Linked DNA regions of Stegostoma tigrinum. The protein of the gene in region 2 binds, or shares a complex with, the protein of the main gene of each other region. Links are inferred from orthologs where the notes say so. Each region holds a gene or a part of one and is shown on either strand. Other genes may lie near its edges.

What was found.
Region 1: the proteins of dffb (region 2) and dffa are in contact, whole or in part, in an NMR structure (PDB 1F2R), measured with the Mus musculus proteins. The link is inferred for Stegostoma tigrinum from reciprocal best matches to the Homo sapiens genes DFFB and DFFA. Residues at the interface, in NP_031885.3 of Mus musculus: Cys10, Lys12, Arg14, Ala19, Cys20, Lys21, Phe22, Gly23, Val24, Ala25, Ala26, Arg39; in NP_001020467.1 of Mus musculus: Asp66, Thr68, Ile69, Val70, Asp71, Asp72, Asp74, Tyr75, Trp94, Tyr96, Asp100.

Annotation. Positions count from the first base shown.
Region 1 is NC_081381.1:13,578,953-13,589,044, reverse strand, and holds the start of dffa (DNA fragmentation factor subunit alpha), read right to left. Parts: upstream 3,989-10,092; 5' UTR 3,923-3,988; coding exon of another isoform or gene 3,890-3,922; 5' UTR 3,773-3,889; intron 3,740-3,772; exon of another isoform or gene 3,517-3,739; 5' UTR 3,126-3,516; coding exon 3,026-3,125; intron 1-3,025. Other genes in the region: peroxisomal membrane protein PEX14, read left to right, coding at 3,890-3,922. UniProt on the Homo sapiens protein: Inhibitor of the caspase-activated DNase (DFF40).
Region 2 is NC_081381.1:42,890,767-42,901,159, forward strand, and holds the start of dffb (DNA fragmentation factor subunit beta), read right to left. Parts: upstream 4,725-10,393; 5' UTR 4,686-4,724; coding exon 4,581-4,685; intron 1,320-4,580; coding exon 1,193-1,319; intron 148-1,192; coding exon 1-147. UniProt on the Homo sapiens protein: Nuclease that induces DNA fragmentation and chromatin condensation during apoptosis. Degrades naked DNA and induces apoptotic morphology.

The DNA.
Region 1 (10,092 bases), about 29 Mb from region 2:
GATAGTGACTGAGTATGGGTGATAAGTAGTTGGTCTAAGTAAGAAGTAGAAATCAGTGCAGTCTTGGTGGGCTGAAAGGCCTAGTCCTGTGCTGTGTTGTTCTCTGTGCTTTCTCTGCAAAACTGACATCTTTACAGCAACCAGACCAAAGGTACCGCCAACTTCTAAAAAGCTCATTTTCCCGTTTTGTAGTGTCTGTTGAAAGTCATTTCCACTTGTCTTCTGAGAATCCCTAACCCAACTCTTTCTAGTCACACATGGGATTTTTGTCCAGAAATCTCCACAACTCTGTCTCTTGTAGCAGAGAAGGAGTCCTCAGCAGAAATCCACCTGCTGGTTCACAGAAAGCAGCCTTTTACCTCTGCTTTTGACAGCAGCTGCTGCTCCCTTATCTCCCTTTCTGTCCAGGATGTCTCAGTCAGTATTTCTGGTATTACTAAGGCCAGCTGTGTAATCCTTTGTCTCCAGGTGTTAGGGACCTGTCCCCAAGGCAGTCAGATCACTTGGACTTGTTGCTGGGCAGATCAACAGACACAATTTTATTTTATCTTTAATTAAAGGAGTTAGTCTAAACATAATCATTTTATGCAGCCTCACATTTGTAACAATGGTCCTCTAACCAGCAGTGTAAAAAAATGCTGGAATAGTCTCCCTGCTGTTATATTCTATGATTCGGCTAATAAAAGAAACCATAATTATATTCTATTTAATCATTTTATAGCTTGTCCTGCTGCTTTTAAGGATCTGTTGACATCCACTCCAAAGTCTCTCTGCTCTTCCACATAACTGAGTACCTTCATATTTAATGTGTATTACCGTTGTCTTGTTGCACCTCCTAAAATGCACTATCTACTTCAATGGATTGAATTCCATTTTCCACTTTTCTGCCCAAATAACCAGATCATCTCTAGCTTCCTGCAGTCTAAAACTTTCCTCCTCACCACAAACTACACGACCAACATTTGTATTATCTGCAAACTTCTTTATCATGCCTCCTTCAATGGTGTCTATATTAGTGATATGAATTACCAAAAGCAAGGGAATGAGTACTAAGTCCTGTGGAATTCCACCAGTCACAAAAAATACTTTCAACCGTCACCCTTTGCTTCCTCCAACACAAGGTCACTTTTGGATTCAATTTGCTACCCTCCCTTGAATTCCTCCAACTCTGAACCTTTTTGATTCTCATACATGGGCCCCTGGGTCAAATAATTAATTTTCTCCAGTTCACAGTTTCCAGTTTTGCAAGTTAACTTCGATTCTTTGATCAAATTTGTTTCTAAATCCATCCCAAATATTTTTGTATGCTCTAAGCAGTCATTTTTTTAGTGGGTGCAATTCTTCAAGCTTACAATGAGCCTCACTGGAAAAATATGTACATGTTATACATCAAGATGGGTCATTTCAACATCCTGCTGCAGTACAATGAAAAAAACAGTTAGGGTAGAAGAGGCAAACTCTGTACGCATCATTCTATCCATGTCAAGGCAATCAGAACTCTTTATAACCCAGCCAAATTTACTTTGAGTGGGTAATTGCATGTGACTTAAATCTTTTTCAATATTTATACAACCAAGGTTATTAGATTCAAAGTCCATGAGTTACAAACCAAGGTAAAAGCCTCTTTATGCCGTGAACCAGCTCCATCTATTGGGACAGGTCAGACAGAAAGCTAAGAGGCTGTAAATTAAAATCACAAGTACAGATCTGTAACAAAAAAAACTGTAATAATAGATGTTTTCTAACTTGAGAAACTAACACTGTTTCTAACAAAGCAACACACCAAGGATTTGGAGAAACTCAGCAGATCTGGCAACATCTGTGAAGAAACAAGAGTTAACATTTTGCACCGGAATGACTTCTTCAGAACACTCTTTGCAACCTTCATGGGCACTCAGTTAACTTGCTTGGTGGACTCCAAAGCTAGAAGCAAGTCTTTGAGTTTGACAGGAACAATGAAACAGGATAAGAATGCACACTTCAACACAGACTCACTCTATCCTAATTTTTTAGGCACTAAACTTAAAAATGGATTTTGAAAGTGGAACAGCACAAGACAAATCTTAGATAACAAGGTGTGAAGCTGGATGAACACAGCAGGCCAAGCAGCATCTCAGGTGCACAAAAGCTGACGTTTTGGGCCTAGACCCTTCATCAGAGAGGGGGATGGGGAGAGGGAACTGGATTAATAGGGAGAGAGGGGGAGGCGGACCGAAGATGGTGCAGTGGGAGAGAGATTCCCTGAGGTTGGTCCGGAGGGAGGAGGGTAACTTCTTCAGGTTAGGCATCCCTGGAAGAGGCTTTGCAGTGGGGTTAAAATTGTATCAGAGATAGTAGGAACTGCAGATGCTGGAGAATCCAAGATAACAAAGCGTGGAGCTGGATGAACACAGCAAGCCAAGCAGCATCTCTGCAGCGCAAAAGCTGACGTTTCGGGCCTAGACCCTTCATCAGAGAGCCTCTCTGCTTTTTGTGCTGCTGAGATGCTGCTTGGCCTGCTGTGTTCATCCAGCTCCACACTTTGTTATCTTGGATTCTCAAGCATCTGCAGTTCCTACTATCTCTGATACAAGACAAATCTTAATGGCCTCATTTAATCAGGCTTAGGTATTTTCTAATCAACCTATTTAGACATGTTATTAGAGATAATGGGAACTGCAGACGCTGGAGGATCCAAGATAACAAAGTGTGCGGGATGCTGCTTGGCCTGCTGTGTTCTTCTAGCCCCACACTTTGTTATCTTAGACACGTTATTACAAGCTTTTGCAGGTGGAATTTGAACTCACAGCATCCTGGCCCAGGGGTGGGGACACTGCAACTACACCACAAGAGCCTCCTGGATTGACTTAATATGACTGTTATTAAGGTGTCAGACCTGCTACATATGCCCTGTTGCCCGTGGCCCACCTCCCCATCCGATGGAAGTTTAAAAATGGGATGGGGCCAGGGAGCCAGCATACCAAACAATGACAGTCTTTCTGGCTTCGCTTGTGTACCAAGGTGACAAGGGCTTCTGAATGGTTACCTTTGGCTACCAGATCTTCCAAAGACTTCACGACGACGCCGAACGTTTGAAGACGGCTAGAGCCACAGATTTTGCAGGGAAATCTTCTTTCTTGATCCATGGCTGAACACCCCCTGCCCTCTCCAGGAGTGAGGCAGAGAGAGACCTGGTTTGCTTTCGAAGGCGAATGGTCTAGATACCTTAAGACTAATGGGTGAGGAGCGCCCCCCCAAACACTTATAAGCAGATTATCTGGTAGCTCTTCACCTTACTGTTGTGGGATCTTGCTGTGCACAACCAGGTCCCTGCGTTTCCCACAGTAACTGAACTTCGAGAGTCCGCTAATGGCAACAAGGGACACTAGGACAGAGAGCTGATGCCGCAAAGTAATGTAAATATACAATTCCCTCTCCCCACAGATGTTCTGCACCGTCCCTCCCAGTTGTTGTTGTAGTAGTGGTGGCTGGCTGTTATTGCGCATGCGCTCCAAACCGACAATTTTTTTTCCCCGTCTGAATTAACGAGGGAGAAAAATGATTATAGCCATGGCTGTGGATTGTCGGAAGCTTAAAAAAACATTTAAAAGGTCCACTGTGAGAAAAAAATAAAGCGACGGCCTGAGTGTGATCATGCCAACCCAGAATAAAAACTACAACTCCCATAATGCTTCGGCCCCAACGGTCCGTTAATTTTCTGTATGTTCTGAATATAATCCACAATTTTACATCAGGTTAGGATTTTATAAATCTCTACTTGAATTCATTTTACCAGAAAAGGTGATGTTTTTGTCCTTGTCGTTGGTGATTGAGGGGTTCTGCGATCGATATTGTCGCCTCGGGCACAGGAGAGCGACCGTGCTATGATCGGTTGCTCTGGTCCATAAAGATGGCGTCCTTTGAGCAGGCGGAGCCGCGACAGGTAAGAAACCCCGGGGTGGCCCATACACATCTCCCACCTTCCCTCAAACTTACCTCCCCTCCATTCCCACCTCAATCGCTATCCCATTACTTTATCCCCTACATCCCTTCCGCTCACATCCCCCCCTCCCCCGACGTCCTGTACACCTCTCCCTTCCCCACTCACCTCCTTCACAGCTCTCCTCCAACCTCACTCACCCATACATTTCCTTTGCCTGCCTCATACCCCCTTTCCCTTTCCCCCCAAATCAATCTCTTGTTCCCCCACCACCATCACCACCTCTCACCCTCACATTACCTTCTCTCTCAACCTTAACCCGCCTTCTACCCCCGCCCCCAGTTCACCGTCAGCTGCCCCCCCACACGGCTGACGCTCAACCGACCCCCCCCCCCATCCTGCGCCTCTCCTAACATGCCCTCGCATGATATCTCCCTTCTTGCTTCATCCCCTTTCATGTTGTCTTCCCCCCTCATCCCTCCACGCATCCTCGCTTGCACTTTCCCCAACATACGTGCTGTCTCTTCTGTTCATTGCCTTTCCTCCCATCTCTTGCTCTGCCCCTCTGCCCACCCCTCCTTTCCCCTACTCTGTTGCCTTCTCCCCTTCTTCCCCTTGCCTTCTGTTCTTCGCTGACACTCCTTTGCCTGCATGTCCTTCCTTTCCTCCATTACCATTTGGGAATTTGATCCAAATCACTGGTTTATTTTTGTTCGCTTTCAGAAACGTCAGTAACCCAGATACTATAATCGCTTTTCCCTTGTAGAAGTACTGTCAGATCAGAGTGAAGTCCAGTGCATTAAAAAGGGGCAATCGTATTTATGTGTTTGGTAATTTTTTGTCTATGAAGTACTTATTATGCTTCACTTCGTCTCCGTCTCACTGCTTTTAGAGGAATACAAGGTATATGAGTGTGTTTATTAGATATGAGGTTATTTGGAAAAAATACACTGGATAAACCTGAGATTCCATTCAATGCTCAGTTTTTTTGAGAGCTTGTGGTCAGCCTCTGATCTTGTTTCTAATGCCCTTTTCTTGATGTTTCAGTTTTTAGCTGTTAGCTATGCTGATAATTATGCATTTACTTATATGCCAATAATACTGTTTTTCAGTTTATTTATTTTTCATTTTGCATTTCCGCTGTCTCGGTCTGGGTGTGGCCATGTGTTGTTGAGTGCCGATAGTATCTATCCAAACTAAACAGCACTATTGACCAAAAATGCTTTTGTTCTTGTAACTAAGTAAACAATGTTGGGGAACTTAGGTAAAACGGGAAGATTCTGGGGATATTCAGAAGGTTAGATAGTTACTGACCAAGCTCTCAACTTCAACTTCTAATCTGGTTGTGGTGTAAGGTTGTTGAACTGAGTGGATGTAGAATCCAAGTTAACAACAGATGCTAACACTGAAATTGCTGGAAAAGCTCAGCTGGTCTGGCAGCATCTGTGGAGAAAAATCAGAGTTAACGTTTCAGGTCAGGTGACTGGACGAAGGAGCACTCAACCCAAAATGTTAACTCTGATTTCTCTCCACAGATGCTGCCAGACCTTCAGAGCTTTTCCAGCAATTTCTGATTCACAGCAACCACAGTTCTCTTTGGTTTTCAACCACAGATGCTGCTCGACCTGCTTAGCATTCCTAATGTTTTCTTTTTTCATTTCCAGAGTGTATGTGCAGGTTTACAAGGTAAAGGTGGGGAATGTGGGACTCCTTCTTCTGTTATTTTTGCACCAAGCCAGCATGGCTGTGTGTGTCAGACCGTAAGTGTGTTTTTCCCCAAGGTCACATAATTTATTTTCTCCAGTTCACAGTTTCCGGTTTCGCAAGTTAACTTCGATTCTTTGATCAAATTTGCTTCTAAATCCATCCCAGATATTTTTGTATGCTCCAAGCAGTCATTTTTTTAGAAAGTAATCATGTGAAACAGTACAGGAGAAACTCGGAGGGTCTGGCAGCATCTGTGGAGAGAGAAACTGAGTCCAGTATAATTCTTAACATTAGCTCTGTTTCTCTATCCACAGATGCTGACAGACCCTCAATTTCTCCAGCACTTTACTTCAGATCTCCAGAATCTCTAGTATTTTGCATATGAGAAATTCCTATTTTTGTGTTGCAAACAAAGTGGAATTATTTGGATACTTTTTGTAGGTTTCTTTGGGGAGGAGAAATTCATATTTGGGAAAGTTTTGGGTATAAATAGTTCTGATGGTTTAAAATTTGGCATTTTTGCATTTATCCTGAAGAGGACAAGACATCAGACTTTGGAAAGAGCTAACACGGTGTGGACCCGTCCCTACCCGAAGTGTCAACTTTCCTGCTCCTCTGCTGCCTGGCCCGCTGTGTTCCTCCAGCTCCACACTGTGTTATCTCAGACTCCAACATCAGCAGTTCTTACTATCCCCGACTTTGGAAAGATGTCTCTTCTGCAAGATTCAAGATTTGTATTACCAAGCAATTATTCAGTTCATAAAGTTGTTTCAAAAAATTATATTTCTCAATGAATTTTGCTGTTCAATTGGTGGCCAATTGTCACCAGAATGGAATTTAATTCTGAAACTTGAATTTTAAGATCTGATTGGCTTCCTATGTTGCTTTCTTTGTGGTATTTCATATTCCTTTTTTATTCTGGAGTTTTAGGCTGAGTGTGGACTTCACTCAACCAAGTCTTAGGTACAATTTGATTGTTTGTTTGTTTGTTTTTGTTTTGGCAATTTTTGGCATGCCCTGTGATGATACTTCAGGGTTTGCCTCTGTTTTGTTTACAGCAGCCTTGGAATCATACAGAACAGAAAAAGGCCCTTTGGCTGAATTTGTTCGCACCAATCAGGTTTCCAAAACTGAACTCATCCGATTTGGCCCATATTCCTCTAAACCTTTCCTATCATGTACCTGTCCAAAACTCCCTTAGATGTTGTAATTGTACCTGCATCTATCATTTCTTCTGGCAGCTTGTTGTATATACACACACACACACACACGATCCTCTGTGTGGAAAATGTTGCCCCTTAGGTACCTTTTTAAATCTTTCCCTTCTCACTTTAAATCTATGCCGTCTGGTTTTGGACTCTCCTATCCTTGAGAAAAGACCTTGGCTATTCTCCTTATCTGTGCTGCTCATGATTTTATAAATTTCCATAAGGTCACCCCTCAGCCTCCTATGCTTCAAGGGAAAATAGTCCTAGCTTATTCAGCCTCTCCTTATAACTCAAACCATTCAAATTCCGTAACATCCTTGTAAATCTTTTTTGCATCTTTCCAGTTAAATAACATCCTTCCTACAGCAGGGTGTTTCTGCCTAATGTGCCTTGGCCCAGAAAATCTGAGCTGCAGGGACCATCCTGTCTCTATTTTAAGCAATGTATTATTAGCCTGGATTTAGATCAGTCACTGAATAAATAATCTATTTTAAGGCAGTCGTATTTGTTCTAATATCTTTTTGTATATAACATGCACAATAAAGGGCATTATAAAGTTAGGATGAAATTTAGGGCTGTATATAAACATTCAAAGTGGACCTCCAAAAGGTAATTCCATATGAATAATCTTTAGGAAATCAGCATGTGTAAAGGTCTGTCAGAGTACCTCAACCTAATTTGTTACAGGAGATGAGAGGATGTTTAAAGTTATCTTCCCACAGCACAGTGTGAGCATGTTCCTATGATTTCTACTGCAGCCAGTTGTATATTAAGGTCTCCTTGACACAGCACAATGTGAATCTATTTGGAGACAGATGAAGCCCTTAAAACAATTTGCATTATCTGATGTATGGAATGTACACCATTTTCAGTTTCACCCAACGTGTGTGAGTACCACATTCTCACTACCCTGGATAAAGAAGCTCCTGCTAGATTACATATTAGGTTTTTATTTATCATATTTATGGTTCTGATTTATCTGTCTTCCTGCATGTGGAATCATCATGTAATCTACCAGATCGCTGCTGCGCCATGGGTCCCTATCCGATCACCCCTCCGTCGTCTCTTTGAGTGGAAAGTCCCCATCTGTTCAATCTTTTCTGATTACATTTAAACCAATGTTCTAGTATCAGCCTTGTGGTACCTCTTTGTATCTTCTCCATGTATTTCTTTCAAATAAGGAAACCAGGATTTAGGGGAGGCTGTATGGCACTGGATTAGTAATCTGCTACTCCAGGCTGAAGTTCTGGTGATATGGTTCAAATTGTACCAAGACAGATAGTGAAATTTGGGTTGAATAAAATCTGAAATGAAGACTCTAATTGATAATGGTTACATAATCATCATTATTGTAAAAACCAATCTGGTTCACTAATGATCATCAGGGAAAGAAATCCGCTGCTCTCACCCCATCTACACTGCATGTGGCTCCAGACCCATGGCACTGTGGTTGCCTCTTAACTATCTTTTGAAAAGACCATAGCAAACCAAACAGTTCAAGGGCTAATTAAGAATGGGCAACAAATGGCCTTGCCACTGTTACAAATTTGGGTGGAGCATTCATGGATTGGAAGGCAGGGAGTTAGTATTTGTGGATAAAAATAATCGTGGGGAAAAAGTGCTGTGGTCCCTTTAAGAACTTGTGCTTTGTCCGTGCTTGGAAGCTTATAAATGCAGGTGCATAGAGAGTGCCCACATGGAAACATTTCGTATAGAACGGCCGTGCAGCATTTTTTTCCGAGACAACAAGTTTGAATTTTGCCAATTAATTTAAATGAAGCATCTAGATACAGAAAGCCGGTTGAGTTTAAATCTGGTGTTCACAACCTGAAATCAATCATAAGAACTGGATTATGTCATTGGGGGTGTGTAAGACAAGGGCATTTGGAAAGTCTGAGAGCCAACTGCCACCTGAAAGAGACAGCCATCCACCACCTGCCAGAGTTCGTACGATACAGTTCTCAGAAAGCCCATCTAACTAATCAAAGGTGCCATGGTATTTTAGCTCAAAGTCTTCACTGAAGAAATTATAGAGAGAAAATATCCCTGACTGCAGAATTAATGGAAGAAAGGTGTTTGTGAAGAGCCTGGAGATGACAGAATATTCCGGAAGACAGTCTGTGAGCTTGGAGAGACTACGTTTTAATTTATTGTTTATTATTAATTGGGTTTATCTTGGTGGGACTTGTCTTTATTTAAACAGCATTCCAGTAGAATTTAGACCAGTTAGGAAGTAGTTAGTAGACTTAAGGACAAATTGTCTGTTGTTAGTAATTTTGTTAATTTGTTCATTGTGTTAAATAAATAAATTGTTTCTTGTTACTTGTAAAGTGGAGATCAGGGATTTTCTTTCTTTTAACCCCTCTTTTAATAGATTAGACAAGCTTCTCTCAGTATTTCAGGAGGAATTGTTAGAGGGCGCCCCTACTCCTGTCATGACAGATTAAAAGGGAGATATTACAAACTGTAGATGCTGGAGAATCTGAGATAGCAAGGTATAGAGCTGGATGAACGCAGCGGTCCAAGCAGCTTTGAGGAACTAGAAAGCTGACATTTCGGGTCTGGATCATTCCTGAAGAAGGGTCCAGACCCAAACGTCAGCTTTCCTGCTACTCTGCTGCTTGGTCTGCTGTGTTCATCCAGCTCTACACCTTGTTATGAAAGATTGAGACTTGTGTTTTAGCTTAATTATCGCTTAATCATTCCCTGGCATAACAGCTACCAATGCCTTTGTTCTGTGCAATCTTAAAAAAAAGTGGTCTAATCAAAGAACCACAAAAGATTTTTGAAGTATCCATTCCATTGTACAAAGAAAATGCTTCAAAGTGGTACAATCCCCCAGAGACTGATTTCTTTAAAACAAAATTCAAACTTACAATTAATGACTGAAAGAATAACACAATTTCATTGTTGAATATGTTTGACTCTAATAAAACAGACTAAGACCACTATTGACTAAACACTACTTTTTAGGCAAATTATACTTGCATATGAACCAAAAGGCGGAGTAGGCCTTCCATCCTCTTCAGCCTACTGCACTTTTCAATAAAACCATGTCCGATCTGCTTGTAACCTCATTAGCATTCCTGCCTACCTCTGACAACCATTCATACCCATGCTTAACAAGAATCTATCTACTGCCTTCAAAATATTGAAGGACACTCTCTTCCTAAAAGATGCTGGAAGCAGAGTTCCAAAGATTCCTGACTGGGGTGGCGGGGGGGGTAGAAACTGGCCTAATTTCTGCTTTAAAGGGAT
Region 2 (10,393 bases):
TTATATTTCCAGCACTGTTTTGAACAATGCACTTGAGCAGCATCTTTTTTCTGGGTTCTGTTTCATCAGATAACATTCGTCTTGCAATCATAATTAATTCTTCATTATTTTGGTCATGAAGTATTTTATTCAAGTAGTAGCAAACCTCTGAAAATGGGACAGAGACATTAACCTCCAGTTTTAAAATCAGTCTGGATTGGAATTATGATCTTAAATTATTATAAACTAAAGTAAAACATGGCTAATCAGATTTCAGAGATAATGGGAACTGCAGATGCTGGAGAATCCAAGTTAACAAAGTGTGGCTCTGGACGAACACAGCAGGCCAAGCAGCATCTTAGGAGCACAAAAGCTGACGTTTCGGGCCTGGACCCTTCATCAGAAAAACCTTTTTCTGATGAAGGGTCTAGGCCCGAAACGTCAGCTTTTGTGCTCCTAAGATGCTGCTTGGCCTGCTGTGTTCATCCAGCCCCACACTTTGTTACCGCTAATCAGATTCCATTATTTTTTACATAATAGGTGTTGGAAACTGGGTTTCATGTAGTCTAGCATGTTGCCTTGACACATGAAGTAATCCATCTCCCAAATGCCCCATAACCACACCAAAAAGTCCTAATTTGGTGACACTGAGTCTTCTTGTCTCAATGCTCACCAACACTGTTCCTACTCAAATGCAGAGATTAGCATTGATCTCTGTGTGAGCAACCAACTAACAGTATATATTTGCGACAAATCTCCCAGAAAATGCGCCAATTTAGATGGTTCAAAGATGAGTTTACACAGATTTAACGCTTTTTATAAGTGAAATTACCTGACATGCAATTAATAACCTGGAACTCACTGCCTATGAGCATGGGGAGAAATGATTCTGAAACAAAACTGGATGGGCACTTAATGGAAATACAACTGCAGACTACAGAGAGAGCGTAACGGAATAATACATATCAAACTGCTCTACAGAGAGCTGTTGTGGACTTGGTGGGCTAAATGACCTTCTTCTCTGCCCTTATGACTGTATGGAAGCAGTTGTATCCCTCTCCAAACAGTCTCAAGCCTATCAATCAGGCTGACTTCCAGAGGAGGAAACGACTTGAAAAAAATCAATGAGAAACCAGGATTCCCATGTTTCCAAAAAAATCTGTTCCCACTCCTCACAAAGCCTGCCCTAGTCAACCTGGGAATCTGTACTTACTTCCATCCCACTGCTGTCCCTGCTCCAGAATAATGAGCTTACAGTTATCTTCTAGACATGAGAAATTGTCAGCGTGGACTTCTGTGCCATCTTTATGTAAACATATGCGACATCCTTTACGTGGGATCTAATCAAGATAAAACAAGCAATTATCATAAAGTATAATAAACACTATTGCTGTTTTCCTGGAATCATTTTCTGGGGGTTGGTTAGTTCAGTTGGTTGATTGGCTGGTTTGTGAAACAAAGTGATGTTAACAGTGTAGATTCAATTCCTGATATCAGAGGTAGTTTCTTTAGTCAGAGAGTAGTAAGGGAATGGAACACTTTGCCTGCAACGGTAGTAGATTCGCCAACTTTAGGTACATTTAAGTCATCATTGGATAAGCATATGGACGTACATGGAATAGCGTATGTTAGATGGACTTGAGATCGGTATGACAGGTCGGCACAACATAGAGGGCCGAAGGGCCTGTACTGTGCTGTAATGTTCTATGTTCTATGTCCGGCACCAGGTGAGGTTCCTATGAAGGGTTCTCTTTCCTCGCCTCCCCTCTTGCCTGAGGTGCAGTGACCCTCAGGTTAAATTACCACCAGTAGTTTCTCTCTATCGAATAAGAGAGCAGCTATATGGAAGGTAAGATGACAGCAACTTTACCTTTTAATCATTTTGTTGCTACTTTTAAAGGAATGATAGTGGTCCTTTTAACTCAAGAGGCTTGTCTCGAAATATGAACTATACAATAGAATAACTTCAAGCCATTGGTAACCTTCATCTGAGAAGACTCAGTTTCCAATGAGTCTGAGCAAATGCTGCCCATGACTTGTCTCAAATTGCCATTACACTGGCAATATTACTCCAAACAGTTCACCAAAGAATTCCTGGCATCTGTAACATGAACATTGGCATAGGTGCAAATGAGACAGTGTTTTATGAGGTGGTGTCATCTATGTGTCTTTGCCTCTAACTAGTTATACCAGTAACATTGTGTTATACAACAGAAAATAGAACGAAAAGTCCACACAGGTATAATATGCTTCATTAGATTTGAAATGCTTCACATTTTATTGGTATGTCATTAGTGCTGTATTTCAAAGTTGAATACTCTATGCACAAGTTTCTCCAACAACAGACCAAGTCATACCAAGCACTTCCAGTTAGGCAGTCTCGAATTCATCATTGCCAACATGTCCCTAAAGCAGATGGCTGACTCTTGGAACACCAATGACAAATCTTCAAACTCAAGGTTTGTTCCTGACAGTTTAAAATCTTACTGCTGGTGCTGAATATTTGAATTTCCTCTGAATTTGCAAATTTTATGTGAGAATTAAATACAAGGGTGCAATGTACAATTTTATGAGGAGTGAAACTACGTCTCAATTAGTCAACATTAAATACCTTAAGTATTTCTGTGATCTGTCACAATGTATCACATTGAAGTGGATATCATTTATCACAATCGAAATATTCTACTCAGTTTCAAGGTCTCTCTTTTCAGTGCTGGTTGAATGCCCACCCGAGAATGGCAAATTTCCCTACAGCCATCATGAGTAAATTCACTTTTTGATTTGTTAAGTGGCCATATCAATGTTTAACCAAAGATTCCTATGTACAACATCTAGGTACTAAACGACTTTCCATAAATGGTGCCATTGTTGCAGGAAAACACCACAGCTAATTTATAGACTGAAGGATCCCACAAATACTAAAATAATGACCAGATAATGGTGTTGTGGTGACAACTGGAGAGTAAATATTGGCCAGGACACAGGGGAGACCTCTCGTTCCCCCTCCCCGCTTCTCTTTCTAAAAATCATATTGTAAAATTCAGGCCTCAGTTTATAGGGAAGAAATAGAGTGCTTGTTGGTCTAGCTTAAGATAACAATCTCTCCCTTAATGTTAACAAAGCAAAAGAGCTGATCATTGACTTCAGGAAGCAAGGAGCAGCTCACGCCCCTATCTACAGTAATACAGCTGAGTTAGAGATGGTCGAGTGCGCTCAAGTTCCTATGAGTGATGACCACCAACAATCTGTCCTGGTCCACCCACACTGACGCAATAGTCAAGAAAGCATAACAATGCTTCTTGTTCCTCAGGAGGCGAAGGAATTTCAGCATGTCCATAAAGACTCTCACCAACTTTTACAGAAGCACCATTGAAAGTTTTCTATCTGGATGTATCAAGGCTTGGTACGGCAGCTGTTTTGTCCAGGGCTGTTAGAAACTACATAAAGTTGTGAACACAGCCCAATCCATCACTCCAGCCTTTAATCCATTGACTCCATCTACACTTCTTGCTGCCTCAGGAAGGCAGCCAACATCACCAAAGACTGCTCCCAACCTGGCTATAATCTCTTCCAACCTCTTCTGTTGGGCAGAAGATAACAAAAGCTTAAACACACGTACCAACATGCTCAAGAACAGCTTCTTCCCCACTGTTATTAGACTCCTGAACGGACCTCTCAAAATTGAAATCCAACGTTGGTCTTGGTTTTTGTGCACCTTCTCTACATCTGTAACTTTGTATTTCTCGCTCTATTCTACCTCTGTAAGGTATGATCTGCCCGAACTGCACACAAAACAAAATTTTTCACAATACTTAGGTACATGTGACAATAATAAATAAAATCAAATCTCAGCAAATTAATTCAAAGTAAAGGGGGCAACATGCTCTTAAGGTTGATGTGCCACTTGGGGTTTTGTATTCAACTCTCTGGAATTCTATCATTTCATTCATGATCTGCTTTCTAATTTCTGATTATTTAAATTTAGGTATTTAAGGGCGACAGACTTCCATTAAATGGACATGGAAAGCACGAATCAAAAGTTACATTCAACATTCGTTTTCGGGGAAAACAATTTACAGCACTGAAACGACAGGGCTTGATTCTCAAAAGTAGCATGAGATATCGGTCCCCTTTGACCTGAATTGGGTGAGACTGATGTGACTCTGCACTCCGATCAAGCAGTATATGGCACCCCTACCGTTCAGCCACTCGCAGACAAGAGAAGAGATAATGGGAACTGCAGATGCTGGAGATTCCAAGATAATAAAATGTGAGGCTGGATGAACACAGCAGGCCAAGCAGCATTGTGCTCCTGGGATGCTGCTTGGCCTGCTGTGTTCATCCAGCCTCACATTTTATTATATAGCAGACAAGAGAACCCTGGATTAATAAATATGGTGAACGTTTTCAATTCTGCTGCAGGGAAATTGCAAACATCGGCGAGCTCTCTCTACAGAAAAATTCACGGAAGTGCTTTTAAACATCCACCGTAATTAAGTCATTAAATGTCTCTTCAGATTTCCGGCCTCTCTGTTCATTGTGGGGCACTTGCTTTCATGAAATTAATTTATACGTATTTTACACAATCTAATCAATTTTACCTGCAGTTTCTGGCATCCCTTTGTCATTAGATCTCGCAGATCTCTGGCTACGATTCCATACATTCTGTCAGTCTTCAAACTCCTCACTTTGAATTTAGTCCCCATGTTAAAACGATGAACTTTTTCAAGGAATCGCAAGTGCGCATGCACTCTCCGCCCCGGAGTTGAACCAACGCCGGAATGAGGGACCGGAAGTTCCTGAATACCCTGCTCGGGTTATTGTTAACTATCAAATACACAGACAGAGATCACTGAATACAGCAAAGCCTCTGCTGATTGTTTCTTTCCTCTATGCAGTTACCTGGGTTGAAAATAGTTTTGGAAGACTTGTAACAGAATAACATTAGAAAATGTTAAGAGTACTTCGTCATTTGGGCAACATTTTGTGCGGAAAATAATGTTAGTTTCAAGTCGATTATGACCTGAGGAACGATAGAAATGTGGGGTGTGGGAAGTATAAAAGAGTAGGCTTGTGATCTGGTATCGGGCGGGAGACCTTAAATGACGAAAGGCTTTGTAAGAATTGATTAAGAATCAAAAATGTGGTCTGATGAAGAGTGACTGGCTACAGGGCTGCTTTTCTGAGTGCAAAGTAAAAGAAAAAAAACGTAAAGAAATGCAAGAAAATTGAATCAATGGGGGAAGAAAGTTGAAAATAGAGTCAGGAGATGTAAAACCGTTGAATCTAATGTCGAATTTGCCGAGTTGCAGATAAGGTTCAGCTCTTCCAGCTGATTTTCATTGGGATTGTGGCTGGCCAAGGATAAACAGATCAGAGTGGAAGCAGGGTTGACAATTACAATAACAAAGGAGAGGAAACTTGCAATTCTGCATTGCACTAATGTAGTCCATAAAACAATCCTTTTAGGAGCTGTTTCAAAGTTCTTTTTAAATTTTTTACATTTTAATAAATTTGTGTAAATGGTGAGTAAAAACGTGTATAGTTAGCATTCCTGTTCAAATGTTACACTGTTAAGGATTAAATTCCATTTGTCACTGTTCAGCTCATCTGAACTCTATTGTGATGATGCAGCTTTAAGAGGTGTATTTTGTTCTGGTATTTTTTAAGACAGAGATTGAACAAGAGATATGGAGCGGTCTGTGGTAACGTAATTAGTTTGTAAAGCCTTGGTTTTTGTTTAATTTGGAACAACAGAAATAGCCTGGTTGGGTGTGGCCAGCTTCACAGACCAGGAGATAACAAGGTATAGAGCTGGATGAACACAGCAGGCAGAGGAGCAGGAAGGCAGACATGTCTGGCCTAGACCCTTCTTCAGAAACGGGGGAGGAGAAGGAGGTTCTGAAATAAATAGGGCGAGAGGGGGCGGTAGATAGAAGATGGATAGAAAAGAAGATAGGTGGAGAGGACACAGACAAGTCAAAGAGGTGGGGATGGAGCCAGTAAAGGTGAGTGTAGGTGGGGAGCATTTCCCACAACTCATCCCTCACAACCACTCCCTGCAATAACAACCAAAACAGAATCCCCGTCACCATCACATACCACTCCACCAACCTCCGGATCCAACACATCATCCTCCAACACTGCAATCCGACCCCACCACCAAAGACATTTTTCCCCTCCCCACACTTATCTGCTTTCTGGAGGGACCACTCACTCCGTGACTCCCTTGTCCGCTCCACAATCCCTTACTGCCCCACCACACCCGGCACTTTCCCCTGCAACTGCAGGGATCGCTACACCTGCACCCACACCTCCCCCCTCATCCCCATCCCAGGCTCAAGAAGACTTTCCACATCAAGCAGATGTTCACCTGCACATTTGCTAATGTGGTATACTGCGTCCGCTATTCCTGTTGTGGCCTCCAACATATTGGGGAAACGGCTTGGAGACCGCTTTGCAGAACTAAACAACTTTGCACTAAACAACAGCACCTCCCAGTCGCAAACCATTTCAACTCCCCTTCCCATTCCTCAAAGGACATGTCCATCCTGGGCCTCCTGCAGTGCCATAACGATGCTAGCCAAAGGTTGCAAGAACAGCACCTCATATTCCGCTTGGGAATTCTGCAGCCCAATGGTATCAATGTGGACTTCACAAGCTTCAAAATCTCCCCTCCCCCACTGCATCCCAAAACCAGACCAGCTCATCCCCGCCTCCCTAACCTGTTCTTCCTCTCACCTACCCCCTTCTCCCACCTCAAGCCCCATCCCCATCTCCTAGCTACTAACCTCATCCCGCCTCGTGACCTGTCTATCCTCCCCGGACTGACCTATCTCCTCCCTAACTCCCCACCTACACTTACCTTTACTGGCTCCTTCCCTGCCTCTTTGACCTGTCTGTCTCCTCTCCACCTATCTTCTCCTCTATTCATCTTCTATCTGCCTCCCCCTCTCTCCCTATTTATTTCAGAACCTCCTTCTCCTCCCCCATTTCTGAAGAAGGATCTAGGCCAGAAACGTCAGCCTTCCTGCTCCTCTGATGCTGCTTGGCCTGCTATGTTGATCCAGCTCTACAACTTGTTATCTCAAATTCTCCAGCATCTGCAGTTTCTGCTATCCCTCACAGACCAGGATTTCTGTTTTATTTTAGCTTTTAGATTCAGCAGAAATTGCTGGAATCTTGAAGAAGTAGAAGCTTTTTATCCCCTCTCTGTTTCAGCTAAAAGCAGGAATTACTCTTCTATTGCAGGCAATGATTGTGAGAAAATCTGATTTCTAAATTTACATTTTTGCCAAGGGGTGTGTTTATGGAATGTTACTATATTTGAACAGTTAATTAGTCATATTTAGTCTACCTAATGTTCTGTTAAGTTTTCCAATATACTTAAATTATTCTCAGTTCTTTCTCGTTCATATTTTAACCATAGTATTTGACAACATTGTGTTTTGCTTAATGCTGAGTAGTTTGACCAGTTAGATTGCATCTGAAACACAGAACTTTACATTTGCGCTTAAAATACGTAAAGCCTTAGGTCTAGGCTGAGGGAGCCTGGTGTAGTCCATAAGACTATATAGCCCTTTATTGTAAGGCTTCTGTTTTCACTACTTTCATGTCACCTGCTACCTTACTAATTATACCTCCTACATTCATCATGAATGTAGGCTACACTACAAACAACAAGGGAGTCAACACCGAGCCTGCTTCGTGCCACCAGCTAATTTTGGATCCAATTTGCCAATTGCCCTGAATCCTTGGACTCTTAGCTTCTTAACCAGTCTGCCATGCAAGACCCTGTCAAATGCCTTAGTGAAGTCCATGTTGACAACATTGCTGCACCTTTGCACACCTAGTCATCTTCTCAAAAAGATCCATCAAATTTTTTAGAAGTATCACTCCCCTGATAAAGCCGTGTTGATATCCTCGACAAGAAGCAAAGAATTGCAGATGCTGGAAATCTGAAACTAAAACAAAAATTTCTGGAGAAACCCAGCAGGCCTGACAGTGTCTGTGGAGAGAAAGCAGATTCACTGTTTCAACATGATTCTGCTTTTTCTGCCAGATCTGCTGATTATCCTTGATAGTCATAAGGGAGCCAAAGATTTGGGAGGGATGTTGGTAAACAGGAATGTCAAATTGAGGCCACAATCAGGTCATCCATGATCTGTTCAAATATAAATGCAGGATTAAAAGGCTGAATGGCCTGCTCGTTCTCCTAATTTGTATGTGTGTGATGCAATGATTACTCCATCAGAAGAAGTTGTCTTGGAACTTTCTCTATCAAATGCTTTTATCACTTTAAATATCTCATAGATGTACCCAACTGTCTATTTCTATTCCTATATGCTCTTGAGAATGCGGTGGTGAGCTGCTTTCTTGAACCCATGTGCGGTAGGTAGATCCACAATGTTGTTCGGGAGGGAATTCCAGGATTTTGACCCAACAATGCTGAAGGAATGGTTATATATTTCCAAATCAGGATGGTGCAGGTGTTTTTTCCATGTACCTGCTCTGCTTGTCCTTCTTGAAAGAAGTGGTCATGCGTTTGGAAGTGCTGTCTGAGTAGGTGAATTTCTGCAGTGCATCTTGTAGATGGTACACACTGCTGCTACTGAACATCGATGGTGGAGGGAATGGATGCTTGTGGCTGTGGTCCCAATCAAATAAACTGCTTTGTTCTAGATGGTGTCAAGCTTCTTGAGTACTGTTGGAGCGGCACCCATCCAGGCGAGTGGGCAGTATTCCATCACGAGGTGCTTCATTGATTATGCTGGCCACTGGTTGGGAATGGTGCTGAATAAATGCAAATCTATTCCCTTGTTGGGAAAGATGTTGAATAAATGCAATCCTGTGGCGCAGTTGGCAGTGTCCTTTGAGCCAAAAGCTGATCACCAGGGAAAGTGTTCATAGCTAGGCTAAACAGTGATAGCAAGAACTGCAGGTGCTGGAGTCAGAGTCAACACAGTGTGGAACTGGAGGATCCCAGCAGGTCAGGCAGCATCATAGGAGCAGGAAAGTTGACGTTTCAGTTTGGGATCCTTCATCAGAACTGGGGTATGTGATGGCATGATTACCCCATCAGAATAAATTGTCTTAGAACTTTCTTTCTCAAATGCTTGAGAGAGGAAAGGTCACCGGACCTGAAAAGTTAACTCCGATTTTTTTCTTCACAGATGCTGCCAGGCCTGATGAGCTTTTCCAGCAACTCCTGTTTTTGTTGTTCTGTATCTACTTGTATGACCCTCCAGCATGCGAACAAGAGAGAGATTCCTGATCAGTATGAAAGGGTATTTAGGACTCTATGTTTTCCTGTCTCCCCAGACGCTGCCAGACTGTCTGATCTTTATTGAAGGAGATGACTTGACCATGCCTGCATCAATGGAAACCGCAAAAAAAAACTACGGATGCTGTCAATCAGGAATAAAAACGGATGTTGCTGGAAAAGCTCAGCAGATCTGGCAGCATCGGTGAAGAAAAAAAAATCAGAGTTTACAGAGAGATAGTAGGAACTGCAGGTGCTGGAGAATCTGATATAACAAGGTGTAGAGCTGGACGAACACAGCAGGCCAAGCAGCAACAGAGGAGCAGGAAGGCTGAAGTTTTGGGCCTAGACCATTCTTCAGAAAGGGTCCCTTCTTCACCATTTCTGAAGAAGAGTCCAGACCCGAAACGTCAGATTTCCTCCTCCTCTGATGCTGCCGGGACTACTGTCTTCATCCAGCTCCACACCTTGTAATCTCAGAGTTGACAGAGGTTTTCCAGCAACTGCTGTTTCAATGGACGTGCGCGCACGCCAAGGCCGCCATGCGGAGACTACAACTCCCAGAGGGCGGTGGGAGGGTGAGTCGGCGCCTGCGCAGTGTTAACTGTTGATGCTGGTGGTTATGGAGATATGGTGGTGGTTGCGGGCTGCTGGTAACGTATGTAGCGCTGAGCTTTCTCGCCGGCCGCCTGTTGGAGCGTGGTGCCACAAGCCAGGTTAACTTACACTTTTTAAAATTATCTTTTCTGAAGTAAAATAACCCACGTTGTCTGTGTTTGTAAGAACGAGTGATCGGAGCCCGGTCCGCTTCGGGGCCTCTCTGAAGTGTGGCGCCGTTCCATGAGGCTGGTGGAAAGTTCCAGCATTTGGTGGTGCCGCAGGGTGGCCCTGCTGCTTCATTGGTTTGGCCTTTGCTGAGGATGCTGATCATTTCCCCCCTCAAATTAGCGACTCCATGAGCCAGAGGTGACTCTGTCCAGATATGGGAGCCTGGCAAATTCAGTATTGGTATTCAGGGACAGCGAGTGTAGGTAATGAAGGTTTTTTGAGGGAGGAGGCGGTTGGTGCAGGTCAGGCTCAGTGAATGCAGGGCTCCGCTGGTGTTGTTTTGAAATTTCGTCGTTGTTGATTTTATTTTACTGTCCCAGTCGG